Linked DNA regions of Caenorhabditis elegans. The protein of the gene in region 3 interacts with the protein of the main gene of each other region in a biochemical or structural test. Each region holds a gene or a part of one and is shown on either strand. Other genes may lie near its edges. The genes, in order: mig-21, unc-5 and dpy-19.

Region 1 (9,293 bases), 2.8 Mb from region 3:
TCTCAGCGAGAATGGTCGCGTTCTTCACGATTTGAATTCATATCTCGTCGAACGAATCATTGTAAAATTGCGTCATAAACTTATCAGTGAAGATCCAATTGTCACTAAACATGTCCGTCAAATATTCATTCATGTGAGGAAGATCAGAGAATGATCAATTGATTATTTGATTTTAGGTGTATGATCTTTGGGCATTTGGATGGAGTGAGCTGAATATTCCTGAATGTCTTCTCACTTTGAGTGCAGAAGGGAAGCTATCGATTGTTGATCAGACACCACTTCGGAAGAATGATATCAGCAAGCAAGAGTTCGGAAGCAAAGAGAGCATTGTTTGAATATATTGAAGTAGATCCTTAATATTCCCACTTTTGGTGATTTTTAGTTTTCGGGTTTCATAAAATATAAAATTTCGGTGAAATAAAACTTCATTTCGGGGTCAGTGAAATTATACAATCTTGGGGACGAGGTTGCGAAAAATCTATTCACAGGAAGTTATGCGTCATCGCTTAATAGGAATGCTTGGCAACGAAGAGAGACTCGGCGGCGGCTCCAGCTGCGTCTTCTCCGGCGTACTTTCCGAGAGATGCATCTCCATTGGCCTTGGAACGGTGAAGGAGTGTCTTCTGAGCGGCAGCGATGTTCTCGTCTTTTCCGCCCCATGCCTTGAGCACAGAAGCTTGAAGAGCACGTCCATAAGAGAAGGTGAGCTTCCATGGCTTTCCGAGTTGAACCTGTAAATAGAAATGAGTGATATAAGGTTATTCCATTTCGTTTAAATTTACCGAGTTAATAGCATTGAGGTTAGCAGTGGCATCAAGTTCGGATTGCCCTCCAGACAGGAAAGTGATTCCTGGAACTGCAGCTGGAACTCCGCGTCTCAAGGCGGTTACGGTAGCCAATCCAATTGCCTCGTGTGAAGCTTTCGACGCGCTCGATTGTCCTGGAGTAACCATGTTTGGCTTGAGAAGAGTTCCTTCGAGATACACGTGATGATCAGCAAGAGCCTTGTACACAAAGGCAAGAACTTGCTCAGTAACCTTCTGGGCACGAGCCAAATCATGTTCTCCGTCGCAGAGAACCTCTGGCTCGACAATTGGAACAAGTCCGTTGGCCTGGCAGATAGAAGCGTATCTGGCTAGCACATTGGCGTTCTCGAGCATTCCGAGGTGAGATGGGGTGTGAGTTCCGATGTTGAGAACACAACGCCATTTGGCGAATCCACATCCTCCCTTCTTGAAAGCAGCGGCACGTTCGGCAAGCTTGTCGAGCCCCTGGGTGGTTCCCTCTCCAATGGTTCCAGCCAATGGGACAACTCCGAGATCGAGCTTGATTCCTGGGACGATTCCTTGCTTGATGAGAAGATCGGTGAACTTCTCTCCCTTATCGGTGCTTTGATGGAATGTCTCCTCGTAGAGAATCACTCCGGAGATGTGCTGGTTGAGATTTGGAGTAGTGAACAGGAGTTGACGATACTTCTGACGATTTGTCTCGTTGTTTTCGAGGTTGATGGCATCAAGACGCTTTCCGATTGTGCCTGCAAATTGATCGGGTCACGATGTGCTGCATTATAAAAAAGAAGAAATCGGTCTTCCCCAATATCATTTCTACATGTTATCTTTCTTTCTATCTACAATTTTATCTATCACTCGCACTATCAATGCATCAACATCTCCAATTTCAACAACATAAACATCGAAAATTGGAGGCGATAGAGGGCACAGAATATGATCGCTAGACCGTGAAAATTTATTTTTTGAACTTCTGAACATAAGTCGCTAATTCTTATTGAATAGAAAAATTGTCAAAAGATGATTGTGAGAAGATAAGAATCTCGATTTTCTAGTTCTAGAAGAATTTTTCCAATAGCTCACCAGTGGATTCATCGGCGGCGAGGATTCCCTTTCCATCTTGAACAATTTTGAGAGCGATTTGGTGAAGCTCGTCTTTTTGAGCCTAGAAATACAACAATTAAACTAAGAAGGGCATTACAAAATGATGAATGATCAACAAACCTGGGTAAGAGAGTCCTTGAAAGCGCCTCCGACAGTTGCCATCGTGAAAAATAGAAGTGATGCGAAATGAAATGGACGGTCGAGAAAATGGGGAGGCGGAGAGTGTAGAGAATCAGTACAGTCGCCGAGAGTGTGCGCAAAAACGGGAGACGGCGAACGGGCGGCGCCAAATATTGTTGGCGCGCAGAGAACTGAAACGTGATATTCTTGTACTACTTTAGGATGATCGAAAAATTCCGAGATAGAAAGTTTTGAGGCCTATTTTTAAAGAGTATGTCAATTCGGCAAATTAATCTATAGATAAAGTAGATAAATCCCTTAAAAAAACTACACAAAAATTTTTTTTTAATTAATAAAATTGTGCACAATTTTTTAAAAACAATTTTTCACAATTGTGCAGGAATTATTTTCTTAAGTTTTCGGCTGTTTTCTTATAGAAAAAACCGAAAAATTTGGAAATGAAAAAATGAATCCTAAAATTGAATTTAAATGTGCGGTATTGTCGTTGTTAGTCGTTGGCTTGCGCTGCGAGACCCATTTGCGAAAGTACGCCTCTCTTTAAAAGTATAATTAATTCTGATGTTTTTTCTTTAGAATTTCAGTCTTAAAACTGAAGAGTTGAAGTGATAAGAATTAAAAACACCTCACTCAGAGTATTCGTTGTACAGATCAATGATAACTTTTATTATCGTGGCGTGAGAAATGGGCAGACAGAGACTGTTCTCGAAAGCATCCGAAATTCACCAAAAACTTTCATCTTTCGGGGAACCCGGAGAACGAATCAAATGAGAAGGATAGTCACGTGGATTTGAATCATACGAATAATTCAATCTTATGAATCTCCTTTTAAAACGATTCACAACACAATAAATAATATTTTGAAGAAGGAAACCCGTGAGAATACAAAAACAAAATATTGGAATTGCAAAATGCAAGGGAAGACATGATGACGTGAATCTTGATAAGAGATGGTGTTCGATGGAAATAGAAGAGTTGTGAAGAAGACGATAACGGTATGCAACTCCTGGATGCATATGCCATTCAGACCAGTTGGCTGGAAATTATTCTCATTAATTTTTTATCATGTTGTTAACTAACACAAAAATTTAGACAGTAAAGTGGACATTGTACTTTGAAACTTTCAAATTTAGTCTTCAAGTTATGGTTCTTCGAAATTTTTTAACTAAAATTAATACCATGCTTCATTGAGTCTTGAGTCTCCTTCCGTATTCCCACTTCAGTATTCGCCACGTTTGATGACGAACACCAGGCTGAAAACCGTACTTGCTCAATTCCTGAAATTAAATCATTACAAATTTGTTGATATATTTCAGCGTAATGAGACCCATACCATAATTCACCCAATCTGTCCATTCGGACCATTTTTTACTAATTGGACACTCATCTGGGCGGCAATCTTCGTAATCCTTGTCACATCCCTCGCAGGAATTACCTTTGCAGTGCCGAGTTCTGAAACTTGGGTTACTGTACATTTCCCAATTGTTTGAACCTACCGTATCCTCAGGCTACGATCACAATCGCATCGAGACCATGGATTCCAGGATGTCCAGGATCCAAAAAGATACTCCGGTACATTTGAAGAAATTGCACAAGATTGCTTCTCAACTTTCTGGCCAGAACAAGTGGTACCAATTGGTAAAGGATTATTACACGTTCGTCTTCTTTTTCGGATACCTTCTCTACATTTCGACCATTTTGACCACGTTGACCAACCTCCTGGACGGATGCAATTCCAAATCTGCATCAAAATTTTATTGAATTGGTTTTTATCTTTTTGAATGTAGAACCTTAATTTCTCCGCCTTGTTTCGAACATTCACAGAATATACCATTATTAGATGCACACTTATTAGAGACAACTTGAGAATATAAAATGCTAGAATCATTTAAATTAGCCAACGAATATGAGAAATTGACGAAAACGAAGATATTAAACAAAACCATGACAATCATTTTCTATGAAACTCAGTTCTTACTGAATAAGTGAAATTTCTACACCCATGTTTGTTTCTCTTTTCAGATTTCGACATTCCTTCTCCTTTTCCATCTTTCAGATGTCGCCAGATGGCAGGGTTACTGTAGAAAATTTCACTTTTTGCAGTGTTAGAGTCGCGCTCCATTGCTACGCGTGAGAGATAAGAGACGGCAAAGATCTTTTTTTTTTGTTTCTCGGGCGCTATCATTTTAACTTTTAAAACTAGTAAATCTCATGATTTCTCTTGAAATTTCCATTTATAAATTTTCAAATTTACAGCTAGAATGACGGAAAATAAAGTGAATATCACTGATAACCTGGAAACCTTAAAGGAAGGCGAAATTGTGACAGACGAGAAGACCGGGAAGAAATATCGTGTCAAGAAAAATATTATGCCACATTATTCAGCTGGAGGACCACATGGATTAGGTAATTTTTAAATCAGCTTGCGGTTTTTACCATTTAAATACAATATTTGTTTTCAGGTGATCCAGAAGATCGGACTTTGAGGAAAATCGAGGCAGATGTGATTATTCCGAATAGAATGAATACCCAAATCGAAAGAGTGGATTGCAACGAATCTTATTTAGGTTTGTGAATTATTGAAATCATAAAAATAAAAGCACGATTATATAGAGTTCTATTTCTACAACAATTTCAGGACTCATCACTTGCTTTCGAACCGACGGTGCTGTTTCTGGCTTGAACACGTGTAAACCAGCTCTAGAACTCTTTAATCGATGCAAATATGAAAAGTCTGGTTATTTTAATGTATCTCAAAATAACAAGAACATATTAAGATTCCACGATCCAGCCTTCCGAGCAAAAATGACTGACGAGTACATTGCGGAACGATCGGCAGCTCGAGCTACTGGAATGACATCGCAGCAACGGAAAATTGAAGAGTTTCGGGATTGGAAGAAGACAAATGAGCAAAAGTAGAATTCTTTCTTGTTTTTCATAGTTAATTGTTTCCTTGTTTGTAGAATCAAATACAATCCATTTCTTCTGGTTTTTATACTTTTTATAGTTATTATTGTCAAGTGTTCGAGTCACTATATATTATCTCATATTCTTACCATTTCTTCATTCTAAAAATATTATTTCCAAAAACTCGTTAATTCATGAATTATTCTTTCACTTTACATTTTATTTTTGCCAGAGAATATAATAGTGCAACGACGCTCCGTTGAAAATCGATACGCGCTCTGTTTAGTTGCCAGTAAACTACGAAAACGCTGGTCCGTTAAACTTTATTGATTTTACTCTTTTAACGTTGTACGCAAAATTGAAAATTTTCTGCTAAATAGTTATTTCTGTCTGTTCTATTTCAGATATGGGGTTCGTTATTTTCTTTTTTAATTCTGAATGTGATGTTCGAAGTCGATATGTTTCGCACAAAAATAACTAAAAATTAAATAGTTGCTATTTAAAAAAGTAGGCAGCACCATTTTTTCAAACTAAAGTACTAAATAAATGCTAATTTGGAATTAACTTTTCGACGTGAACTTTTTTTGTCGAATATTATTGATTTTTCCTAATCTCCTTCAGTTCTTCTTTTTCTTTACAGAGAAGAAGTTATGTCAATTCCAGTGCCAATGGAGACAGGAGCAAATTCCGAAGCTTGGAAAAAAGCGAATGAAGCATTAATGAAGGTTTGTAAATATTTCATATGAACAGTTGTTTCAATTTGTAATATTTCAGATTCAAGGTGGAATGTCGAAAGGACTGAATGCATCGAATGGTAACAACAATACAGGTCAGAACTCTTGGATGAACAACTCGTTTTCGTTCCCAAATCCCCCATCCGCTTACGGTCAATTCGGTGGTGGTTTTCATCCATCCACGTGGGGCAGCGGACCGATTGTCCCACCACCACCACCACAACAGTCGGCGGTGAATGCAACTGCTCAAGCAGCTTATAACCAAGCATCTTTTAATTATGCACCACCACCACCACCACAGAATTGGAATAACGGGTACGGAAGAGGGCGTGGCGGAGGAGCCAACAACTGGAATCAGCAACAGAGACCTCAGCAGTTTCAGCCATTTGCCTTGAACAGAAAGAATAATTCGTCCGCATTTCCGCATCTAACTAGCACGTTCGTACCGCAGGGCGGAGGTCCACAGCCATTGATGGGAGTTGGTAGAGGACGCGGTGTTCCAGCTCCAGGACCAGCCAAGCCACCACCTCCATCAGCCCAGTAAGTTTTCAATTAATTATCATCTTTGTTTTTATTGTTGCAAAATTATTCAACATTCTATTTTTTCAGACGGTACATGGAACGTGCTTTCGAGGCGGCGAACACTGTCGAAGATCGTCAAAAAACTCAAGAATACCTTCAGAAGAGACTTTTCCCTATGTTGAACGCAGGCAATGCTCACATGGTCAACTGGGACAATGAACCGTTGCCCCACGAGAAAAATTATGAGCTAGCTCCAGCGTGGACGCCAGCTAATAAGCTTCCACATCAGGCTAATGGATTTAATAGAAAAAAGTCGCCATCGCGACGGCGTAGTGATGAAATGTCTAACAGCGGTGCCGCTGGTGGTGGAGGACAAATGAAACGGGCTCGTCGGGATAGTGATGGGGCATCTTCTGATTCTGACAATAGCGATCCCCTTGAGAAAATGCACTTTTCTTCTATGAATCAGGTTTCGATAAAATTAGATAGGGAACTGGGTGGTGTATTTGGGCACGGAAACTTGAGTAGTTCTGCTGAAATTCATACTTATAATAGATCTTTAAAATTACTAAATGTGACTAATTCCATTCAGAAAAAGACAAAGGCTCAGAAAAAGGCTGAAAAGGCAGCGAGAAAGGCGGCTAAGAAACTGCAGAAACAACAAACTCCGCAAAAAGTCAAGAATGCTTGGAAGGTAGCTGGAGGGGATACTGAGGCTCGGAGGGTAAGTTGGATTAACTGAATTTTTCATTTTCTCGAAGTATTTACAGGAAGATCGTGCTCGTCGTTTTGCCGAAACTTTGTACAATGTTTCGAAGCCATCTGTGAGTGTGCCTCAGCACTATTTCAGACGAGGACAAGTGATTCGTGGAACTTGCCAGAATATTGAGAAATCCTTCTTCAGATTGACAGCTGTAAGTTTATATAGGTTTCATTTTTCAGCATCATTAAACCCAAGCTTATTCCAGGCTCCAAATCCATCGGAGGTTCGGCCACTGGAAGTTTTGCGCCTTTCTCTTCAAAATGTACGTGACAAATATCGTGCGAGAGCAGAGTATTCCTATCTGACAAGTCAAATGAGATCGATTCGCCAAGACTTGACGGTTCAAGTGATTCGCAACGAGTTTACAGTCGAAGTCTATGAAATAAATGCTAGAATTTCGCTTGAAAACGCGGATCGAGAAGAGTTTAACAAGTGCCAGTCGCAGTTGAAACTTCTCTACTCGGAAATTGAGAATTGCGCGAATCAGGCAGAGTTTGTAGCTTATCGTCTGTTGTACTACATTGCTATGGACAATCAAATTGATATCAACGCGCTGCTCCGTGAGCTAACGCCGGAATTGAAGGAGAATGACTGTGTTGAATTTGCATTGAATGTTCGAAAAGCTGTGACTATGAATAATTATGTCAAGTTCTTCAGGCTTTTTAAGGCAAGTTGTGAATTTGACAATTTTTAACTCTTTATAAATTCCAATTTGCAGAATGCTCCACGAATGTGCCCGTACATAATGGATTTATTTGTTGATCGAGAGAGAAAGAAGGCACTCGGAATTATCACAAAAGCTTTCCGACCAACAATCACGTACAAATTGATTGCGGAGTTTCTGAGTATGAAGGAGTCGACACTTATTGATTGGCTCGAGGAGGAACTGAAATGGACTGATGTCGAAGTTGGAGGAACATTTGATCCAAAAATCCCAAGAAACATTTGAATAATTTTTTGTTTTAACAATTTCATCCCATTCTCAATCCCCTCGTCCCGATCCTTGTGTGATACTTCTTCGGTAGCCAACTAACTGTTGATATCCACTTTTTTAATTGTGTTGCTGGTAAAATGTTTAAAAATGCAAAATTAGAATAGAGCTCTATAACATTTATTTGTTTTTGTAACCGTAAAATATGTTTTCCATTGTTGAAACTGAGATTTTCAGGCAGTCATGCGTGTTAAGAATAAAAATGTAAAATAGTAATTAGTGAAGGCATTTGTTTTCATATCCAGGGCAAAATGTGAACAAAGCGGTTTGAAGTCGTTGTGGACGATCTGTCCAAAAGTTGTTGCAGTAGGTATCATATGATTCTCGATGTGTAGCACAGAATTGGGATTCTTGAGAAACTCGGCGCTTTTGTATGGGAAGTGCCACATCGTCACGGAGGCCAATACCAACGAATTCGGTTGAGAGATCATCTAGAAATTTCAAGAATTTAACAATACAATTTCAATTTAAATACCTCGAATTCCAATGAGCGGAAGTGTAACAACTACATTAATCATGACGAAGAATGCTGGAAAAGAAGTTGATCATTTTGTGATTGAATGATGGAAAAGTTACCGATAACAGTGATAAGGAAGGAGTTGGAAGAAGTAGACATCTTTTTAGGATTCTTATTACTTTCTGGACTGTTTTCACACTTTTTATATTTTTTTTTTGATTTGAAGAGATGAAATGAAATGATCCACCCCATTTTGATCGGATGTGAATTTAGATGGAAAACAAAATTTTGTACTTTTTAGTTGAGACACGACCGGTTATGAATGATATTGGAAGAGAAAAGATCGAACATTTGAAGGAAGAGAATTTGTAGAAATGGGTGCAGAATGTACGAAGTTCATGTGAACAATGGAATCGGAATCTTGCAATCTGAAAAATGTTTTTGTTTCTAGAAAATTCCATCACATGTCAAAACTAAGGCTGTAAACGTTTTCTGAGTGTGGTTCTTAACGGGGTCACGCCACGATCTCAGCTACAGTAATCGCTACAAGCTTCAAATTTCACAAATTTGCCCATTTGATAAAGAAAAAATAGTTTATGAAAATCTAAAATATACTGAGAAGGCCAGGAATAACCATAAAACATTAAGCATTCGCTAAAACCTAGTTACGATTTTCGCGACGAGACCCACAGATACAACTGTAAACATATGGCTCAAACTCCCGCATTAATTGTAGATCTACGTAGATCAACCGAAATGAGACACTCTGACACCACTTGCATATGCACATGTAGAAAGACACTTGCACGTTTGAATCAGAGGTGTATGGTAATTTTAATAGTTTTCTTGATGAAACTACAATCAAAAGAGCCACAAAGTTACCAAATTC
Region 2 (10,352 bases), on a different chromosome or scaffold from region 3:
GGCGCGACAGGATATATTTGAAATTTTAATGATCACATGTTCTCCGAAAATTCAAGCTTGGATTTTGTGTCAAGGCTCAGAGGCTCCGTTCTCATAAAAGTCCTGCGGGGTCCTTTTTGCGGGGCTGGTAGATCTCTCGTATGATTTTGCAGGAGTTTGAAAAACAGTCACAGACATATATGAAGTATTTTTACAATCAAAGGGAAACGAGCGTTTGACACACTGTAACGATCATCCAGCTATTAATCAGCTCAATGAAACAGTAACTTTCTTAAAATTCCTAGTGATTCTTGATTCCAATTACCTATGGGGAACCAATTTCTAATGTTTTAAACCCAAAACCCTAAAAAAAACGATCTCCTCAATTCCATTTTCATTTTGTGTCGTGAGCGAACTGTCGGCAATTAGTTACGCTCGTAAAATGTGGTGCGGTAATGAGATATTGAAAGGCGTCTCTCTTCCTTTCTATCCCAATCGTTTACCGGACTGTGAGGTCTCATAGAGGTAACCCACAGAGAGAAATATCATACTGAAAGTGGAGTTTTTAGAGAAAAAAGTGCCGCAAAGGGAATAGAAACAGGATGAAATGGAAAAAAAGAAATCCCAAAAAAAAACAATAGATTGGTATCCCAATCCATTCCCTCTATTTCACCCATATATTCAGTGTATTTTTTGGGTTTTCTATTTCTATGTTTGTTCATGCCTTAGCCACTGAAATAGATTTCAATCAGAAAAGAAGAAGGGACAATTTTTGAGTATTAGAATAAAAATAACGACAGATGTTTCAGAAGAAGAAGGCCCTTGGTAACCGTATCATCCGTATGGGGAAGGAAAGAAGAATAGGAAGATGTTGCTTTCTTGTTGAAGGTCGTGTAAATGGAAAGAAGAAGGAAAGACGGTGGTGTTTATTCAAGATGTATTACGTATATGGTTACGACCGGAAGGAAGACATGGAAGAAGGTTGAAGGAAATTGAAAGATATGTGTGAAATGGTTTTGAAAGGGTAACTTAAAAATATTACCGTTTCAGGGTAACAACTTTTAGCAGACCATTTTGTTATGTGTACTGTGTTTGTCAATTTCATAAATAATTCTGAAATACAAAAAGATTCAGATTTCAGGCATTAAACTATACCGATTAATTTTTTGATTTTTTTCGATTCTCTCGGACTGAAAAAATTATCTATAAATTGATTTTTGATATAGTAAACTTTTTTTTAACACTACTGTTTCAAGTTCATGTTTTCAGTGGGGCCTTGAAAGGTATTTTCGATTTAGAATTTTCAAAGAACCACATAGTTATTGTTTCATGTTCTCCTTTTAAGAGGAACAATTTTATGTGTTTCCGATGCAGCCAAATATAGTTTGTGGTTAATAAATTTTTCAAAAACTATTTTCACTACTCTCTGAAGAAGACTAATGGTGTCCGTAGAAATTTATACAAAGCAAAAAATATTTTTATACAAGTTAACCCATATTTAAAGATCAGGTTGATCACTAATTCCTATTACCGGTACAGAGAGTGTAGATGGTTAGAGAGTGACAAACATCCGGGACCCGATGGGGCGGGACGCGCGAAAGAGACGATTTGTGTCGATTTACGAAATTTTCCTCGTTGTCATCATTTCGTAAATCGACACAAATCGTCTCTTCCGCGCGCCCCGCCCCATTGGGTCCCGGATGTCTGTCACTCTCTAACTATCTACACTCTCTGTACCGGTAATACCCAGTCGGGTTTTTAAATGACTTCTGCACAATTGAAAATTGTGATGTAGTTTTGAAAAACACCATACTAAACAATTACTGTTTCATGATTATATTTTCCGTGGAGCAATTTTTGAAATCATCGATTGTACTAGTATTTGGGTACAAAGAACTGGAACTGGGAAATATAAGCATAACTAAAAAATAATTTAATCTTTACTAGAATTTGGAAGTATTTCAAAGGAATTCAATTACATAAATAGGTCGTAAGAATCTGGGAACATTATTTTTGGCATTTTTCCGAACTTTAACTGGTTGGGACAGCGTTTGTATAATATTACAACTTCCAAATAAACTTTAATCGGTTAAAATTATCTGCTTTTGTCTTACTTTACATAGATTAACTGATTCAAAGAAAATTAATCAGTGTTTCAGTAGGTGCTTAAAATAACATATGAAGTTATTCGCTTATTGTTATCATTGTATTTACCGACCGAAAAGAAAACTATATTTTTGAATCTCTAAAACAATCGTTCCATTTTCAAAACGCTCATAAACATGATGCGTAATGAAATAAAAATCAAATAGAGAAATGACGCGGCTGGCTCCTTTTTGCCCTCTAAAAAGGACATACTCATGATGAGTCTATAAACAATAAAATTGAGAAGAAGGAAGGTCAATTCTTCTGTTTCTTCTTCTTCCAAAATGATTCAAAAAGAAAACAAGAGGATGAAGCAGCAGATTGAGGGAAATCAGAGAAACGGAACTACTATAATCTTAATCGAATCAAAAAAACGTTGTGATACCACTGATCTTCTGTCATACCATATTAGAAATGTGAAGAGAGAGGTAAAATATGGTGTAATTCGAATAAAAGAGGAGAGAAAAGCAACAACATCTGCTGTTGTAACCACGCTTACTGTATCTGTCTCCTTATTTATGTCGTATTGTCTTGAATATAATAATGACAGTTACATTTGGGTTCATGTACGGTAATTATAGGATACATAGAGAGAATGAGCATCATTATTTAGATTGGGCGGTTTGACATTCCGAAAAAAAAGTGACTGGAAAAAATTTACTGTTTCAAAACTTTTTGAGAAAATTTAACAATTTCTGGTTTTCTGATTGGGTCCCATCCGCTTTTTGAGTTTCACAGGTATATCATGTGAATGCAATATCAAATCCTATCAAGCATGCAATTTTGATCAAGACATTAAGAGATGATCTTGAATTTCGGTAATTTAGTTGAATTGTCAGACTTCAGTCCAAGATACTATTTTTCTGCAATTTGGAGACATAACATATTTTAATTCCTATCAGTTTCAAATTATTTATATTTAGAAAAAGAGGTGTACAAATTTAGTCTGCATCATAATTGAATTTTTTCGAGGTTTCTTCAAATATAACTTATTCTGTTTTGCTGTTTTGGTTATTTTTTGGAATTTTGATCCAGAATCCCAGGAATTTTTTAGGAAACAAATAAAAGAATGCCCATATTTTTAGATTTTTTAAAACTGGCGGTTTGACTTGTCAAAAAAAATTCGGTACAAAAATTTACTGTTTCAAAAGGTTATCAAAAAAGTTTCACAGTTCATATATTTGATTCCATTGATTTTTTTGCCAGCGCCTTTATTATAATTTGTAGCTTCTAAGAATTATTGGTTTTCTGAATAAAAAAATTAACAGCAAACTAACAACTTTCCAAATACACTTTTTAGTTCTCCTATAAACATCTGGAAAGAGAAAAATTTGAGTTTCGAAATTTTGAACAGAAAATATGTGTTGTGATAATAAATGTCTTTTGTTAGTTTCTAAATTTATTGTTCTCATTTTTGAAGAAAAATAAACGATGTTAAAAATATTACAATCTACTTACTAAACTCGGGGCTAATGAGATCAAGCCAGAAATTTCAAATGATTTTATCTGTAATTCATTTTTTCGTTGGCCTATTTTTTTAATTTAAAAGTTTTTGCATTTTTGCAGTTCAAATATCCATTCTCAGAAGAAAATTTCAAATCTTATATTCTTTAAAGCATCTTTTTTTTTCGGTTTCAGCAATGTTTATTGTATACTTAACAGTGAGTTTGTAAAACTAATCACTTTAAACATGTTTATCCGAAATTCCAAAAAATTACTGTTTCAATAAACTTGTATCAATCATAGAAAATTGACTTTCTATTGTTCCATTGTATCAAATTCAAACGACTTCTTTATTAATTTTTTTTTTGTAATTTAGCAACACAATCATATAAAAATTTGACTTTTTTTATGTAATTCCGTAAGATAAAAGTAATTCCAAATATGGAAAAGTTGAATGAGAAAGTTTTTCTTGAAATTTCAAGAATTTTAAAAAACTTGAATTTTTTTCGGTAAACGCCATGTAGGCTGGCTATTCTACCTACGTACGCCTACAAAAAATTGATTACCTGTAGGGAGTAGTATATTTCAATTCCTGATCCCTTCCTCCAAACTTTCCCAGTGTTTGCCACTATCCCTGTTTTCTCAAAAACCCTAAAAATATATATACTCATTTTCCACCTCAATCATTGTTTCCACTAATAATTTTACACTCTTTTCCATCTCATTGACGTCTTTCAGTTGTTGGTTTTTTCATGCTTCTCCTCCTCACCAATTGCCACTTCATCCTCCCATACATCTCAACTTTCTTGATTATTTTTCGCCCCAGAAAACCGCCGATTCATCATAAAAATCACACCCGAAAGCTCTTTTCCAACTAAACCAACTGCTCGTTTCACAATAATTCGAGAGAGTGATAGAGACCGGAGAGACGCACAGAAACACCAGGATTTTTGATTTTGTGACGGAAATAGATAGAATTTGGGGGTTCTTATGGTCATATTCGAAACATTTACAATACTTTGGAAAAGGATAAATCTAGACTAATCAAGGTTATAAAGTCTTCGAATATTTAAAAGTTTCATAAAACAGAAATTTCATTTTTTGAATTTTCCCAAGAATACTGGAAATTGATTGAGTTCTAACCGCAAAAAGTTGGTCAAGTGTTTTAATAAAGTCGTCTGGAAAATATTCTGCTAAATCTAACGATTTTTTCTAGTTATCATCCATTTTTAGCAAATTTTCAGATAGCTTGAAAAAATTTACAACAAGTTGATTTAGGGGAAACTTAAGAAAATTAATATTTTGAGAATTTAACAGCTTTTGGATAAATCACCAAAAATGAAAGAATAAATTGTTTGAACGATGATACCATGATGTTAATAAATGCGATTATCTCTACGATGTTTGAAAATTATATGAAACAGTAAAATAATTGCTAACATTTTCAATTTTTTACACTTTCTCATAATTGATGCTGCTTCTGTTTCTGTGTTTAACGCTACCAATGTAAAACATAATACAAAATAAAATTTCAGTGTAGGCACCACACAAAAGATAGACTACTGCCAATTTACAGGTTAGTAGTTTTGTTTTCTTTTATTATTTGAATTTTGAATTGATTTTTTTTTAATCGTAGATCTGATTCGAATAATCTGCACCCGAATCTATTCTACAATGGAGAAAATGGAAGAAAATATGGTATTTAATGCTCTCATGGAAACAGAATTTTTAACTATTTTGTTGGGAAAACTTGAAAAATTAAGAAAAAAAAATTACAGTTTCATATAACTTTCAAACTTTGTAGAGATAACTGCATCTATTTCATACGCCAATGGTTTGTACTAGTTAAAATAATTGTTGCTTTAAATTTATATTTCACTTTTGTTTCGAACGCCGGATGACGTTTAAAACTTCTAGACCATCAAAGTATGTATATTTCCGCCATAAATTAAAAAATCCTGCATAAGAAAGCCAGGCGCGGCCAGCTTGAAGGTAGGCAGGCACTCAGAATTTGCCTTCGTGAGATAGTCCTTCTAAAAATCCGTGCTATCGCGGGAATATAAATTTTGATAAGAAAATTTGAAAAAAAAATTTCAAATTTTTTACAGTTTCATCTATCTTATATATATTGTAACGATACTCGTATTTATTAGTATAATCTTTATTTTTATCGCGGCTGGACCTCACTATCAGATTATAAACTGAAATTTTATCGCAACCAGTGTCATAATACAAACTATGTGAAAACAGGTGACACCACTCCCGTTCACCCATTAACCTCTCCCAATTTTACAACATCTATCAACTGGAGAATCTATGAGCCATAAAGTAAACTAATGCGTAAGTAAAATATTCTGTTTACACATGTCAACAGTTTAATAAAGCAACAACATATATTTTCGTTCTGATTGACATTTGACATTAAGGTATACCTGTGGGGGAATGTACGGGGGGTCCATCAAAAAGAGAATACCGCTCCCCCCCCCCCCTCCAGGTACGTCGTCATCATCATTGACTCAGGAAACGTTACAACAATATCATTTGGCGGCAAAAATCATCGGACCTAGTCATCCGTGGTGTGAATGGGTGATGATTGGAGAAGAGGGGAAAGAGGTGAGCACACACACAAAAAAACAACAGAAGAAGAAGAAGAAGCAACTGGTGGTGGTGGTGAAAAGAGTTCTGGCGAGAATTGGGATTAAGTGGCGGCACGTGTGTCTTTGGAGATGGGACACCTTCTCAAAGGTTCAATGATGTATGAGTGAGTGGGAAACGGAAGAAATTGGAGAAAGGGACTAACTGAAGTAAGGTAGAGAATGCCTGCCTGTTTCTGTGCCTACTTATAGTTTTATGATGAGTCGCAAGACCTAGATACTGTCGGCTGCTAGTGAACTCATGTTTGATTTTATGAAAGAGCAAAATAAAAATGGATATTCAAAAGGCAGGTAGACGTTAGGCAAATTAAAACGCCTGCCTGCCATCAATGAAAGCGCTAGAGTATATTATGACTGCTTGATCAAATTTTTCTTGAAATGTTAATTTTTAGAAATATTGACTAAACTTTAATTTGTTAACTTTTCCGTTATATTCCCAATTTTAAGGAGAGGTGTGATTGATAACGTTTCATAGATCAGACTTTATTAAAATTGTGAAAATGTATAGAATCTCTGCAAAATTCACGTGATTTTTAAATGTTACAACCAAAGATAATTTTGAGGTAAGTTTTAAAGTAACGTTATTGTTTCAAGAAATGTTTTTATAAAAAAACACAGAAGGCAGTCTGCAAAGCGAGAGAGTCTGCCTCCTCGTCGGAGGGAATTTTTACTTTGGGAAAACAGTTCAGAATTTTTTGCAAAACTATATAAACATTTTATAAATGTTTTTTTAACAAACGCAATCACATCACAAGGAAATTTAAAATACTTATACAATTTCTGAAACAGTAATTTTTTTCAAATTTTTTAAATGTTCAAACCGTGGCCATACAGATACCAAAAGTAAAACAAATCTAGTATTTACTGACAAATCATCAAAAAAAAGTGTCATAGCTCCTTGAAACTAACACCAAACAATTCACTGACCCCTCTTAATACTTCCTAATATTTACCCCCGTTACCCCCTGCCGGGGGCACCCATTGGCATATTTTCTAAACAAAGAAAAGATAGTCCTTAACTTTTTTATAAGTAGGATAAAATAAGAGGGATTAATTCAAAAATCAGAAACTCACTTGATTTGTAGTCCAAGAAATAATCGCTGTATGCTGCATCTCCATTGGAATCTGAACTCACATCGGGCGTGTCGTCCTCCATCTGTAGAATTTCAAATTTTCAAATTAAAAGGAAAAACTGATGGAAAGAATAAAAATCAAAATGAAAAAATTGTGGAGGTCCCGTGAAGAAATAAAAAAGGTTTTTGTGAGCACGGAAGACATGTGAACAAGAGGAAGAGAGAGCGGCGATTCTTGTAATAAAAACCAGATGTTAAAGAAAGGATAAAGGTCCGAAAAATACAAATTGGACAACCAACCAGACCACAGACAGAGTTCAATGTTTTCTAGATTTGGGTTGGAAAAAATAGTGAACTTTTCTGTCTGTAAACTTAGTAATTATAGATTTTTTTCACTTTCTAAACTGATTTTTTTTCAATGATCCAAAATTATTTCTTATTTAAAAAATGGAACGAAAAACCACAGAACATCAAAACTTATTTGAAATTACATTTTGAAAAAAAACATGGTGAAACAGTCAACTTTTTAATTTAATTACAATATAGGGGTTACAATTGTTGACATACGACTATGGTCTTGAAGTTGCATTAAATAAAGTGAATCTACTGAAACAGACAAATAAATTTTATAAATTTCAACTATCTAGAAAAAAGTTTTAGATAACTTTTTCGTGATGTTTCGTGCTGATATGTAAACTCCTTGCTGCTCAAAAAACTGTAAAAATCTGTTTGCAATGTTATTACACTTCACCTACAGAGACATTTTTGTATTTTCTCATAGAAAACTTATTTGACTTTTTTACAATCATAGAACACTCAAGAATTTGTTTTCGGATTAAATACAAAGGTATCATACGAGGCAATGTCGGAGAAAAATCTGAATTTAAAAGAAGCCTTACTGAAACTGTAACAATATTTTGTGCTTCAAGAAACTAAATTCTCAAACAAATAGGAGGTTATTGGAATTTTAAACGAACTTAAAAAAAGGGAGTTGATTTTTTTTCTTCAATTTGCACACTTTGGTTTAGTTTGAATATAATCAGGATACAGAAAAAATTGATTTTGATGAAAAAAAATCATCCAGAGAAAATTTGATCCAGTAAAAACATGTTTCATAGTTTTGATGAATTTTATATAATTTCACAGTTGTATTAGAATTGGAATAATACCCGTTCAATTATTGAAGAATTTTGAATTTGATAAATATTCAGACCAACTTTTTCTTACATGGAACTCATAAGCTTTATTGTCTCAATAACAATAATGGATTCAATAAAACAAAAATACTCTTAATTCACAAAAGATCCAATTGAAACTGTAAAAAAAATGTGTGCTTCATCTTCAGTGATTGAATTCTGAAGGAATAGAAAATAGTGGAAATTAAGACAACAAAGCATGGAATCTGAAAAAATGGAAAATTTTTCTAAAAACATTTTTTAGAGATCATTATATGGGGAGTGGTAATTTGAATTCCATTGTTACGCAGATTCTAGAAAAGTCGTCTTTGAAAATACTTACTATTCACTAGAGATGTTAGCTAGAGAACAATTTTTTCTGTAAAAGCCTGTTTCATTATTTTGATAAATAAACCATGATTTTTGAAATGTTAGTGACATCTGAACATTTCTTTTTTAAAAAAATTACTGTTTCAAAGTCAAATGTTATAATTTTATTAAACTTTCAATGTTAATCGTCCTATGTGTCAAGCAGAGCAAGATTATGTGAGAAATTGTGAGAAAATATAATATTTGAGCAAGTGAATGAAAAGAGTACCGCCTAACTCAAAAACTTGAAATTAACATAATAAAGAGAAATTCTCGTGGTAAAGGCGGGAGATTCCCTGAAGGGTTACTGTAGGTTTTCATGGGTTGGAAGGAAAAACTACAAATTTGAATAATAGGTGTCTTAAAAATTATTTGAGAGGTTTGAACAAAAACATTTGACAAAATAAAAAAAAACAAGATAAGATAACAAATATTTGGACTACTGTTTTGCACTTGTTTCAAAAAAAATAATACAAGAAAGTTTTCGCTTCTATTTTGTCAAGTTTTGCAGATTTGAAAATACAATGAATATAAAGAAAAAAAATGTAATCAAGAAAAGCATAGCAGTAACAATGGTATATCGGAAGTTAGGCTGATATTTGAAAGCATTGTAAAACTGCAATAATTGATTTTTCAAGTAGAAAACAAAAAGTTAAATTTTGAATTGAAAAAATGATTCAAACATTTTTATTGGTAACGTACTTACACGCTTGTATAAACTTAAAATTAATACTTGAGCAGATATAAAATATATTTTTTTTAAATATAATTTGAAAAGGTATCAGAAAATTAAAAAGAAATTTAAATTGAATTGTATTCTTTTGATTTTTGAAATCGGTGTATTAGGGTTTATTAAGATTTTAAAGAAAATTGGTCTAACAGGTCAAAAAGTACATAAAAACATTTAACTCCGAAAATAAAAAAAAATTATTTTCAAAATGTTGAAATTCGAAAATTTAGCCGCTTCACACAGTTTTAATATTCTTTTAATTTTTTTGGCAAATAATTTAGGAATAATTTTAGGGATAATTTAGGAAAGGGAAAATGATCTCACAATTAAATTCATAACGGCGAATATAAAAATAGCAAAACTATGAAATAAAACTGCAACAGAGAAAAAAAACACGAATTTCTTTCAAATAAAATTGTCCCCCCAAAAAAAAGAGACAACAAGTGATTCGATTTCCCATCAAATTTTCAGTAGTACTCACACCCTTCTTTTTTCTATTTTTTCTACAACACTACTATATAAACTGTCTCCTTAAATTTGATATCTCTTAAAATAAAGCAATTTCAGCACGCTTGTCTGCCAAATTGGTCATTAAGTTGGCAAGTTATTATGGAACATAAAATGTTTCAAAAGAGCGTTTCCAATTTCTTATCACTAGATGGTGGTAGGAAGATGCATATAATTTCCAGTTATCAGTTAATCAGTAACGTAAATATCTAACACAGCACTGCTAATTTCGGAGAAAACAAGAAATAGAAAACATGAAACAGCAATTTTTTTTTGA
Region 3 (10,465 bases):
ATTGATTATTGTTTTATAGTATGAATAGTAGAGACCCTGAAAAAACAAGAAATTTTGAATTTGTATTTTTAAAGAAAACTGTACCATTTCCGTTCGATATGCCATCTCGCGTTCAAAGTCCGCCAAATGGGAGAAATGTTTGTCGTTTTCGAATAATGTGTAGACATGTTGGTAGTTGATGTATCCAACGAGGAGTCCTGAAAATAAAAAAAACTGTATTGAAATTCGTTTGAGCGTAAAATAATTTGTCGCAAGTTTGATAAAGATCCGAGAAGACTATTTCTGTAACTTGCATGATTGTCTGCCAACTAATTATTTTCTGAATTTTTCTGTCAGGTCACATGCCATATCCGGGTGGAACAGGACCACTTTAGAGATTGATACGGCTCTAGTTTAATGAAGAGCAAAAAATCTGCAGGTAGGTCAGTAGGTAGGTGTTGTAAGCAGGCAGACATTTTGAACCCTACATGGACACCCCATTTCAAATAACTACTATTAAAACATAGTTTTCTTAAAAAAGTATTTAATTTGTTTCCCCACCCAATTGCTCTTAATAATCCTCATTGGTTCTCCTAGTTTTACTCTTTTGTTCCCATTTCCCTTTTTTTGCAATTCAAAACACATCCAGTTTTGAGAGAGAGGTCTCTCTCTCTGTCCCTCTCTACCTCCCCCTCTCTCTGTAATTATCGACTTTGGGGACGAAATGTCAGTTCATTTGTGGAAATAGTTTATGAATCGGAGAGACTTTAGACACTTTGAACAAACCGTGTCGTCGTCAGTGACGAGACACAAACACAGGAAGTTTCGTTGAATATGTTGATGTTTCTGTTGACGTTTCGTTCCCTAGTTTTTAGAGATTGAGAGCATCTAAGGATTAAGGTTCAATGTTTCAAGATTTAAAGTTTTGAAACATAAGTAACAGAGTAAATGATATGATTTAGATAATTTTCTTATTTTTTAATCTGGCAAGCACGCTCAACTAACAAAACACGAATCCGACAATCAGTCAAACATCTTAAACTTTTTAAAAAATTGTTCATTCTTTATAAGAGCGAATTTCAAATTTAAAAAAAACTTTAATTAAGCTTCAGGTCAAGCAATTAGGCGTTATTATTAATTCTGGCAAGTTTCCGTTTTTCAGATATAATCATTTCAATTTCGATTCTTTCTTCAAAGTGTCTGGAAAAAATGCTCTTTTTTAATAATTTCGCCGAATCTAATAGTTCTAAAATTTTATGTTGAAACGATCAATTCTATAACAGTATATTCAAAAATAACCTCACTAAACTTGAATTTTTTCCAAAAAAAAGCATTCAAAGTGAGCAAATAGTTTTGGTAATACAGGTGGCTACAAATTTTCTGTCAAAATGTTCAATACACAAAGTGTGAGCAAGAGCAGAACCAGTTTTCAAACATATTGCTCTCAGTTCTCACTTTCATTTTTGTTTGTATTAGAGGCTCATTGAGCAATAGCAACTTGAACTTTACTTACTGTTTGTAATAGCTTAACTGTTCACATTTTTACTAAAACTTTGCAACCTATAGGTATACCTAATAATTGGGTTTTTCAATTTTGTATGAGAAATCACATCCCGAAACTGAATGGAAACTTTCTGATTAAAATGGATATCACTTCAAACATAGTGTCTTTTAATATTGTCTAAGCCTGTATGACAGTGATAATTTCTAATAAAGAGGCGCAGAGAAATTAGATAATGACCGATAATGATGAGATGAATGAATGTAATGATGTGGGAAAATAGATAATAGAATAAGAAGTGTGGGCATAATGATTTAGATGATAGAAGCGTTCAGTCTAGGAATCATTTCAAGTCAATATCACTAATTATCTCATTTATTTTTGTTCCTTTGATTTATTCGTTTTGGTAGGGCCGTTTCATCTTAAAGCGTATATTCAAAACAATTAAAAAATCGTTTTTGAAGTCTTCCAAGTAAAAATAAATATCTGCTTTGTGCCTATATTGCGCACCTATCATTTAATTTCTTAAATGGGGCGTAGCAATTTTGGACTTCTGCTTCAATATCTTCAAAATGATCCCAATAGACCGAATTTCATAATGTGACTCCTCGAAAATTTCTTATGAAGATACAACATTTTAACACTGTTTTCTTTCATAGTGTCCAACGCCTGCCTTTTTCCTACACTAGTTTTTTTTTCAATATCCTTGCAAGTGCACCTGCAAGAAAAGTTTAACAAAAGTTCTTAAACTTAAAAAAGTAGGTGGTAGGCAGGCACGTAGGTGCGCAGGTATGTAGCCAATAGATTCTCAAAATATAATTATAAAAACTCTGCATTTCTTTTTATTCATCCTAAAAGCGCATTCTACTCAAAACCCAGTCACATGCTCTATTCACAAAAGTCAATTTTTTTTCATCTGCTCTCCGCATAAACTCTTGCTTCCAATTTCCAGATGCATTTAATGTCACGTGCGTTCACTTTTTTCCCTTCAAGCTTCCAGAACAAAAAAGTCTTGTGATGTTTCGCTCAGAAATTTGTTTGAATAGATGATAATTGGATTTCGGTTGAATTATTTTTGCCATCGCATGTCCTTTCTTCAATTCTCAATTTCCAGTTTTCGTGTGATTCTCCAAAAGTTTCAAACATCATCCGAATTTTCTTGTTTTTCTATTATGTCACTGATTTCCTATTTATTTTTCATATTTTTAAAGTTTTTTTTAAGGGAAAATGAAAACGCCTGCAATTTTATTACTCCTATTCTTATTTATGATGAGTTTGGCACAAAGTGATGAGGAACAAAGTGGAAAGGAACCTCCCGAAAAAGATGATGTTCTAGTTATTCTGGTTGGTTTTTGCCAATGTTACCATGTCAGAAATGCATGCATGCCTACTTTCGGCACATCTTCGTTTTCTTTTCCCGTATTCTATGTTTTAATTTTCAGGCAGAAGACAATTCGACACTATTAAACAATAACCAAACAATGTATGACCCTTCTTCCGAAGAAAAAGAAAGTGACAAACCAAAATTCAATTTATTGGAGACATATTTACCACTTTTCATATTTGTACTCGATCTACCAACAGAGGATAGAGAAACTTTGAAAGCCTATGTAAAAGATAAAACTTATGAAAAACTGAAATATGTAATCGATTCAAAAGTTAAAATGAATCGAAATGAGAAAAATGTCTTAGGAAGAATCAATGAATCCTTGGTACAATCAATCGATAATTTGGAACATTTTGATGAGATTACTGTAGATGTGGTGAATGGTTATCACGTAAGTTTGACATTTCAATGGAAAATCATCTCTCTTTAATCTTTAAAATGTTTTATTTTCAAAAAAAACCTTAATATGACAATACCAAATTTTCCTTCTATAACTAAATTTCTAGAATGCCTCCGTATACAACGCAATCCGTTCAGTTTGGTTGAAACAATTACGTCCATTTCTGCCGCTAATTGATCAAATGGCCATTCAGCAGTATTTTGCACAAAGGTTTCAAACATCAAGCGTCTATCAAAAACTATGTTTATTTTCCAGAAAATCTTCTGAAACTGAGAAAATGTCAATTTGGGCAAGATTATGGGAAAATCTGAGTGTTTGGATGTATGGAAAGAAAAAATTAAACGAATGTTATGCAATGGAGCCAAAATGTGTTCGACACGCATTGGAATTGCTTAATTTTGAACAAAGGATTGATTTGGATTTAGCTGCTTATGAGAACAAGTTTGACAGTGTTGATGGAATTATTAGGGAAAGAGTGAGTCAATTTAGATATTTAAAAAATGTCAAAAGCCCCAAAACGAATTAATTTTCAGCTTGGCGAAAATCGGAAAAGCAGTGAACTCGACGAATGGTTGCACAGAAATCGCCCACCAAAAGCGCTACAAGCTATTTTAGATGAGCGAAGTGACATTGAGGAGGAGTAAGATATTTATATTGAATAGATAAACGTTAGATTTTTAGAGCTCTTCAACGCCTTCGAGATAACGGAGTTCTGAGCTCACTCAAACATTATTACAAAGCAGTTATAGAGTCAAGAAGTCATGAAGAGCAAGAGGTAACCAATGTTTTAGATAGTTCTTGTCAATTTTCTTACGCATTTTTCGATATTCTGCTAATGGGTGCAAAGTTCTAAATTGTTTTTAATTGTAGCTTTCTATATTAAACTTTCAGGACATTCGTCATTTCTTCGACATAATGAATGACACATTTGCTCGTTGCTTTGACCCACTACGAGGCCAGTATCATGATTTCTAGAAAAACCCTCTTTTTGACTTCTTCCTCCATTTGTTTTCAGTCTCATTTAAAGTTGGAGTGGCATCGGAATATTTTTTTTGACTATTCATATGGTGCGTAGAAACATTTTTTTCCAATTTTTTTCGAAATTCGTTGTCGGAAGCTGGGAATTCTCAGCTTTTGTGAACAATACTTTTGGTATTTGGAAATTGGTTTTTTAAAAAGTGTTTCATAACAGTACATTATTTGGTTGGAAAACCTAAATATTCCAAAGACATGCCAATTTACCGAATCTAAACATTTCAAAAAGTTTATTATGATATTTTGCCACGTAAACTTTTATGAATATTAAAAAAAAATCCCCCACTGACGCTGCTCCAGCTTTAAAATCTCAAACTCTTGCCACTTTGAATGCATATTTGTTCCCTCTTCCTCTCATTCTATTGTTACGTGTATTTTGAATTTAATTTCCTGTTTCATGTTTTTAGTTTGAATAAAACATTGTTCACTCACCTATAATTACAACGGAAGCAAGCCAAGTTTGCGAATATAATGAGGAAGAAGTATCAGAAGAATATTTTGATTTTTCAGGCGAATTCTTGGGTTTCTTTGCCATTTTTTGTCTGGAATTACAACAGCGTAAGAATTGAGAAAACAATTAACGAAAAAAAAAAATACTAAATCCGTTCTGATTAGTTAACAGCACAGAAAAATGTCAAGGAGAGGTTTTAGAGAGAGAAAGAGAGGGAGAAAAAGTGTGAAAAAAAATTAGTGAGGACTGAAAATATGTTATTTCTCTAGAATAGAGATTAGAGTTGAGAAAATATATGAGAAATAGAAGGAAAACATAGAAACTAGCAAAAAGGATAGGGGTGGGAAAATATTAAATTTTTCATTTACCTAAAATTTGATATTAAAATTGCGATAAAGTAGGTAAGGGAAGCGTGTCTTGTAGGCAGGTATTCTGTAGGTAAAAAATTCTTACCTGATTTTTGAGGTATTTATACCTATGCCTACTGCCAAAAAGTTTTTTTTTCAAACTTAAAAAAGAACTATCAAATGAATTGAAAAGGCAAACACCAAACACCAAAGTAAAAAATGCAAAAATGGGTGATTGGTGAGTAGGCAGGCATGTCAAGAGAAAAATAAAAAGTAGGTAGAACATAATTGAACTATGTATAATCTACTAGAATATTAAATAAAACGTTGAACTTTTCAATTTGCTAGCTGAAAATAATTTAAGTTGACTTTGAAGGCTTTGCACTTTTGGTAAAGCAATTTCAAATAGTGGGAATTAGTTTTTAAACATGAAAAAAGGAGATTATGAAGACAGACAGACTATGTTTATTGAGAAAAAAACCATAAAAGCTATACGATTTTCCATCGAGGCGTTTCACCAAGAGACTTCGATTTTTTTGCCCATTTTTCAAAAGAAAAATACTCAATTTACATGAAAATAAACACAGCTTGAGATACCTCTTTCCCAACGAAAAAAAAGGAAATTCAATTGTTCGAACCCGACGCTTTTTCTTTTTTCAGAGATTTTTGTTTAGAGAGAATGAAGTCACGGACAATTTGAAATTTTAGAGGGAATCTATTAGGGAATTAGCAAATAGTATGAACAAATATAATTAGAAAGGGGAAACTTGCAGGGTTTTGCAAAATTAAAAATTGTAGATTTTTACACTTCGAACAAATCCGGAACAGTTTAACAGTTTAAAAAAATGTATTTAAAACAAGTTAAGTTATTTCTTTAAAAAATTTCGAGAAATGTTTCAAGATTTATATATTTATGATTTGTTTCAAAAATATCCAAGAGTTCAGGGAAAAGCCAGAAAAATGACTCAACAAATCAGCAAACAGTACAAGCAAATACAACGAGCATTTAAAATATTTTGGAAGTGAAAACTAAAATTTCAAAAAAATATGGGAACACAACATGATAGTTTGAGTAAAACATTAACCGAATCCTCTTCCTCTACACATTGAATCCAATCCATTTGACAGGCGGTCAGACAGGTAGCCAGTTAGATAGTACTAGGGTTTACAGAGACGCAGACATACCGATAGAGAGTAATACACAATAGATCTGTCCTCTTCTTGTAGTAAAGAAGGAGGAGATAGAATTGAATGAAACAACACTTATTTATGCTTTATTCTTCTATTGAGATATTTTTAGAGAGTTTTGAGTGCTTCAAGTAATTTCAAAAAATTAGGTTTAATGATGGAGAAGCGTTGATGCGGATGATGTTTTGAAACACAACAAAGACTGGAATTTGGAAATACCACAATGGAAAACCGATAAAGATCGAGATCAACAAAATTCAATTTTTTCAAACTTTCTCAATTTCCAAACGATCTGCAGAGTGCTCAGTACTTGACAAGCTTAAAACTACAAAAACTCTGTGAAATCCGCCTTTGAAGAAATTACAGGCTCTGAAAATAGTGCGAATATAAAAACGTCAGTTCGAGTTTTCAGGCTGGTGAAAATCAAACAATTTTGGTTTTTTTTTCGAAATTTTCAGTCAAATATGGAATGGTAAATTTCCAATTGTTGGAAAATTGATTTGATTTGTATAGTTTTTTTTTGGAATGTTCCATACTAAAAATACATTTTCCATCTCTTGGCGTATATTCTTTGGATAAATTTTCAGATAAAATCGAAGCATATTCGATTCCTTCGGAAAAAAGTTCCAAATGGAAAAAACCTCTTCTATTGTTCAGGATTCTACTGAGAACAAAAGTTGATGTTTTTTTTTGAAGTGAGAACAAACCGAAAATGAAGATTGTATTGAGTTGACCAATGAGGAAAAATGCATTCGAGCCGTTTTTATTATTGATGGAGTTATTCGTTTTTATACGATACGTTTTGAGTTCTTGGGAAGAATATTTGTTCCCAATAGTTATTTGTTTGACTTTTTCCAAAATCAAATTTAGATGATCCATCTTTAATACAGAAATATCAATTCAATTAGACATATTATTATTTTTTAATATATTCCAGCAAACAATCGTCCTTCTTCACAAAAGTGCTCAAATTCTAATTGTAGATAAATATTTATTGAAATATTTATTCGGTGTACTGTAGGTCCCAACTTTTGTTACTGCGGAATTTTCATCTATTTTTCATAGTTTTCAACAAAATTGATTTCTTTATTGAAAACTAAAATAAAACACGTAGAAACAATGAAAAATAGGAAAATCACTGAAAATCCCGCAGCAACAAAAGTTGGAAGCTACAGTACTCTTTAAAGGCGCACATATTTTTTGCATTAAAAGAAAATTGGTCGTGTCGAGACCGGGCTCCGTATTTTTGGCGCGAAAATGACAATTTTTCGCGTCTGCGTTATAGTTCGTTGTTAATTTTGAAATTAAGAAGTGTGGAATCTTCTGTGCATTAATTGAATTAGAATTAAATTCATAGGCTTTAGTTTTCAGAAGCTACTGATAAAACAAGAAAACTATGAGCAAGCAAGAAGAAGAAATGCTCAACTAGTGAAATAATGTATTTTATAATAATTCTTCGAAAACTATTAGGCATTTCGATGAAAATGGTTTCTCATATTATTCGGCACTTTCTCAGTTTACACCGAATGGATTAGAACGAGTCAGGCATATTTGGACGGATATTTGTGCGAAACTTTCGTTTTTATTTCCAAATAAAAATGTTCAAAGCAATTGATATGTAACTGAAACTTTATCTGTGAATTAAATTTAACAACAATAACAAAAAAGCAGGAAAGATACGCTAAAAAATGCTAATTAAAAAAATACGATTAAAAATATGCATAATCAATTAAAGGAATCCTCTACAATTACGTGGTTCTCCAACTCCTACTCCACCGAAAAGACGTCTCTTGGTACTAGAATCCACTCTTTGGAATTTCGAGCCAAATCTTGCAGAAACTTTGGCATTTGGTTCCTTGGAATTATCTTTGAATCCCCGAATCTGATTTCTTTGATTTTCGTCCTGGAAAAATTATATTATTATTTAAAAAATTTTCTAACACTTTCCTAGCTTTTATGGGAACGCAGAAAAATGCGACTTTTCCAAAACAACGCTCCGCCCCCGAATCACGGGACTCGTTAGGTATTTGGGGCCGAAGCTGTAAATTTAAACGTTTTCAATTCGTTTTGCAGATTTAACGAATTTTCAAGCATTTTTCGTCTGTTTTCTAATGTTATCCGCCGTTTGCAATAGTTTTTTATGTAGAAATTGATTTTCTAAACATCTTTTTTTATGATATTAAGATTTTGCCGCCAAATACCTAACGAGACCCATGGATCTGGGGTTGTTTTACGTCGACTTCAGAAGGATGAATTTTTCAGATAATTACCTTAATTTTGAGTGAATTCGAAATTCCGAATTTTTCAGAAGTTGGCTCCGTTTTTAATGCTTTCTGCAAATTTCCATCCAACCAATCTTTTTGTGGGATTTTTCTGAAGTTGACTGTCTGGTCTTCAACTTCCACTGAAGTTACAGCAATTTCAATGGAATTTATCAATTCTGTCAATTCCACCGAACTATCGAACCATGGAAGTTTTTCGATTGAGTCTCTAGAGCCTTCGGTTCCAAATGTTTTCACGATCCAAATTGCGCATGAAATAGCATTTTCAACTTTTCCAGAAATCACATCGTTCGAAACTTGACTCCCAGGAATCTGAAAATATGAATTATGTATTTTTTTTTTCGTATTAAAAGTAACGTTGCTTTAAAATATTAGGAATAGTCTGAAAAATAATTAAATTTTCACGTTGTTGAGGTTAGATTCTTATAAAAATTTACATTTTGCAGCGTGGGAAAAAATTTCAAAAAAAAAATCGATTTTATCAAAAAACAATTTATTTCACATTTTTGTATAACTGACACTCGTCAGAATTGTAAAAACCATTAATTTCATCGTTGCATTAAATGTCAATTAATTCTCTGTAAGTTGGGGAGTGTGTGTGTGTGTCGAGGGAAAATGTGGTGCAGCCGACATCTTTGCTGAAACCCAGTGAGATGTCGGCTACGTTCGCATCGCTATAGCAGGACAATTTAGGCAGGGGTAGGCGGGTAGGCATGCATATGAGGAAAATTTGAGATAAGAAAGTTTGCAGTACTAGGGTAGGCATGAGGAAGGCGCGAAGTAGGCACGGGGGTAAGCATAAGGTGAGCAGTTAGGCAGGCTTAAAGTAGGCAAAAATTCTGAGCTAATACCCTGAGCTCTTTGAAGCCGCTGAAATATTTGTTTTGCAGTTCGAACGAAACGCCCACTCCAACAATCGAGAAAGAAGCCTACTTCCATGGATTGATCCAACGAGAAGATGTCTTCCAGCTCCTTGACAATAATGGCGACTACGTGGTCAGACTGTCGGATCCAAAGCCCGGCGAGCCTCGCTCCTACATTCTGAGCGTCATGTTCAACAATAAGCTCGATGAGAACAGTTCGGTGAAGCACTTTGTTATCAATTCTGTAGAGAACAAATATTTTGTGAACAACAATATGTCGTTCAACACGATTCAACAAATGCTCAGCCACTATCAGAAGAGTCGCACGGAGATTCTCGAAGCGTGCAAGATTTTGCATCCTGTGCGCAGACAATTCTGGGAGTTAGATCATGGCAATATCGTGATTGAGAAGAAACTAGGCGAAGGTGCTTTTGGTGAAGTTTCCTCCGGAGTTATGAAGTTCAAGAGAGGTGGAAGGCTGGTGAAGGTTGCTGTGAAGCAGGTTGGTTTTAACCAGGGAGATTTCCGTTAAACTTAACTTTTTTTCAGGTAAAAACCGATGGTATCGGGAAAGATCAAATCAAGGATTTCCTGATGGAAGCTCGTACCATGCGAAACCTCGGTCATCCAAACATCGTAAGATTCCTCGGAATCGCCGTGCTGCAGGAGCCGCTGTTCCTGGTGATGGAGCTCGCGACGGGCGGCGCTTTGGATAGCTACTTGAAGCATAATGAGTTGCTGCCGATTGACAAGAGACACGAGATGCTTCTTCAAGCAGCATGGGGTCTCGAGTACATCCATGGAAAACCCATGCTGCATAGGGACATCGCCGCGCGAAATTGCCTTTATGGAGATGGGAAGGTTAAAATTTCGGATTTCGGCCTAACCCGTAGAGGAACCATCTACCAATTGCATCCGGAGACGAAGTCACCAATTCGATGGCTGGCAGTTGAAACTATCAGGACTATGATACGTTTCACCCCATGAGCATATCTAGTATATATAGTGTTTTCAGGTTTGCTCTCAGAAGAC

The links.
Region 1: of the proteins of dpy-19 (region 3) and mig-21, one has a biochemical effect on the other in vitro, tested with the Caenorhabditis elegans proteins (one study listed by BioGRID).
Region 2: of the proteins of dpy-19 (region 3) and unc-5, one has a biochemical effect on the other in vitro, tested with the Caenorhabditis elegans proteins (one study listed by BioGRID).

The regions. Positions count from the first base shown.
Region 1 is NC_003281.10:5,874,268-5,883,560, forward strand, and holds mig-21 (Abnormal cell migration protein 21), read right to left. Parts: upstream 4,114-9,293; 5' UTR 3,986-4,113; coding exon 3,821-3,985; intron 3,772-3,820; coding exon 3,527-3,771; intron 3,483-3,526; coding exon 3,364-3,482; intron 3,308-3,363; coding exon 3,209-3,307; intron 3,067-3,208; coding exon 2,753-3,066; 3' UTR 2,680-2,752; downstream 1-2,679. Other genes in the region: F01F1.3 (MIF4G domain-containing protein), read left to right, coding at 1-133, 177-335; aldo-2 (Fructose-bisphosphate aldolase 2), read right to left, coding at 507-731, 783-1,534, 1,872-1,953, 2,013-2,054; F01F1.2 (COX assembly mitochondrial protein), read left to right, coding at 4,292-4,436, 4,493-4,597, 4,669-4,762, 4,808-4,949; hpo-10 (SAC3/GANP/THP3 conserved domain-containing protein), read left to right, coding at 5,344-5,348, 5,578-5,662, 5,712-6,211, 6,281-6,662, 6,786-6,917, 6,964-7,107, 7,162-7,623, 7,675-7,905; F01F1.14 (uncharacterized protein), read right to left, coding at 8,164-8,378, 8,423-8,476, 8,524-8,656. UniProt on the Caenorhabditis elegans protein: Required for determination of left/right asymmetry in nervous system. Acts together with unc-40 to control an initial left-right asymmetric polarization of the Q neuroblasts.
Region 2 is NC_003282.8:5,520,962-5,531,313, forward strand, and holds the start of unc-5 (Netrin receptor unc-5), read right to left. Parts: upstream 7,378-10,352; coding exon 7,296-7,377; intron 6,965-7,295; exon of another isoform or gene 6,944-6,964; intron 6,680-6,943; exon of another isoform or gene 6,659-6,679; intron 5,742-6,658; exon of another isoform or gene 5,721-5,741; intron 5,409-5,720; exon of another isoform or gene 5,388-5,408; intron 4,947-5,387; exon of another isoform or gene 4,926-4,946; intron 3,911-4,925; exon of another isoform or gene 3,887-3,910; intron 3,825-3,886; exon of another isoform or gene 3,804-3,824; intron 3,332-3,803; exon of another isoform or gene 3,310-3,331; intron 2,853-3,309; exon of another isoform or gene 2,832-2,852; intron 2,690-2,831; exon of another isoform or gene 2,669-2,689; intron 2,455-2,668; exon of another isoform or gene 2,434-2,454; intron 2,197-2,433; exon of another isoform or gene 2,176-2,196; intron 1,871-2,175; exon of another isoform or gene 1,850-1,870; intron 1,370-1,849; exon of another isoform or gene 1,349-1,369; intron 1,294-1,348; exon of another isoform or gene 1,273-1,293; intron 1,088-1,272; exon of another isoform or gene 1,067-1,087; intron 592-1,066; exon of another isoform or gene 391-591; intron 218-390; exon of another isoform or gene 197-217; intron 1-196. UniProt on the Caenorhabditis elegans protein: Receptor for netrin (unc-6) required for axon guidance. Mediates axon repulsion of neuronal growth cones in the developing nervous system upon ligand binding.
Region 3 is NC_003281.10:8,662,639-8,673,103, forward strand, and holds the start of dpy-19 (C-mannosyltransferase dpy-19), read right to left. Parts: upstream 4,845-10,465; 5' UTR 4,838-4,844; coding exon 4,735-4,837; intron 4,728-4,734; exon of another isoform or gene 4,243-4,727; coding exon of another isoform or gene 4,159-4,242; intron 4,043-4,158; coding exon of another isoform or gene 3,949-4,042; intron 3,908-3,948; coding exon of another isoform or gene 3,801-3,907; intron 3,743-3,800; coding exon of another isoform or gene 3,523-3,742; intron 3,478-3,522; coding exon of another isoform or gene 3,374-3,477; intron 3,259-3,373; coding exon of another isoform or gene 2,923-3,258; intron 2,825-2,922; coding exon of another isoform or gene 2,708-2,824; exon of another isoform or gene 2,700-2,707; intron 198-2,699; coding exon 85-197; intron 37-84; coding exon 1-36. Other genes in the region: F22B7.1 (uncharacterized protein), read left to right, coding at 2,708-2,824, 2,923-3,258, 3,374-3,477, 3,523-3,742, 3,801-3,907, 3,949-4,042, 4,159-4,242; pgl-2 (P granule abnormality protein 2), read right to left, coding at 8,018-8,191, 8,559-8,882. UniProt on the Caenorhabditis elegans protein: C-mannosyltransferase that mediates C-mannosylation of tryptophan residues on target proteins such as unc-5 and mig-21. Mediates the attachment of alpha-mannose in C-C linkage to the C2 of the indole ring of tryptophan.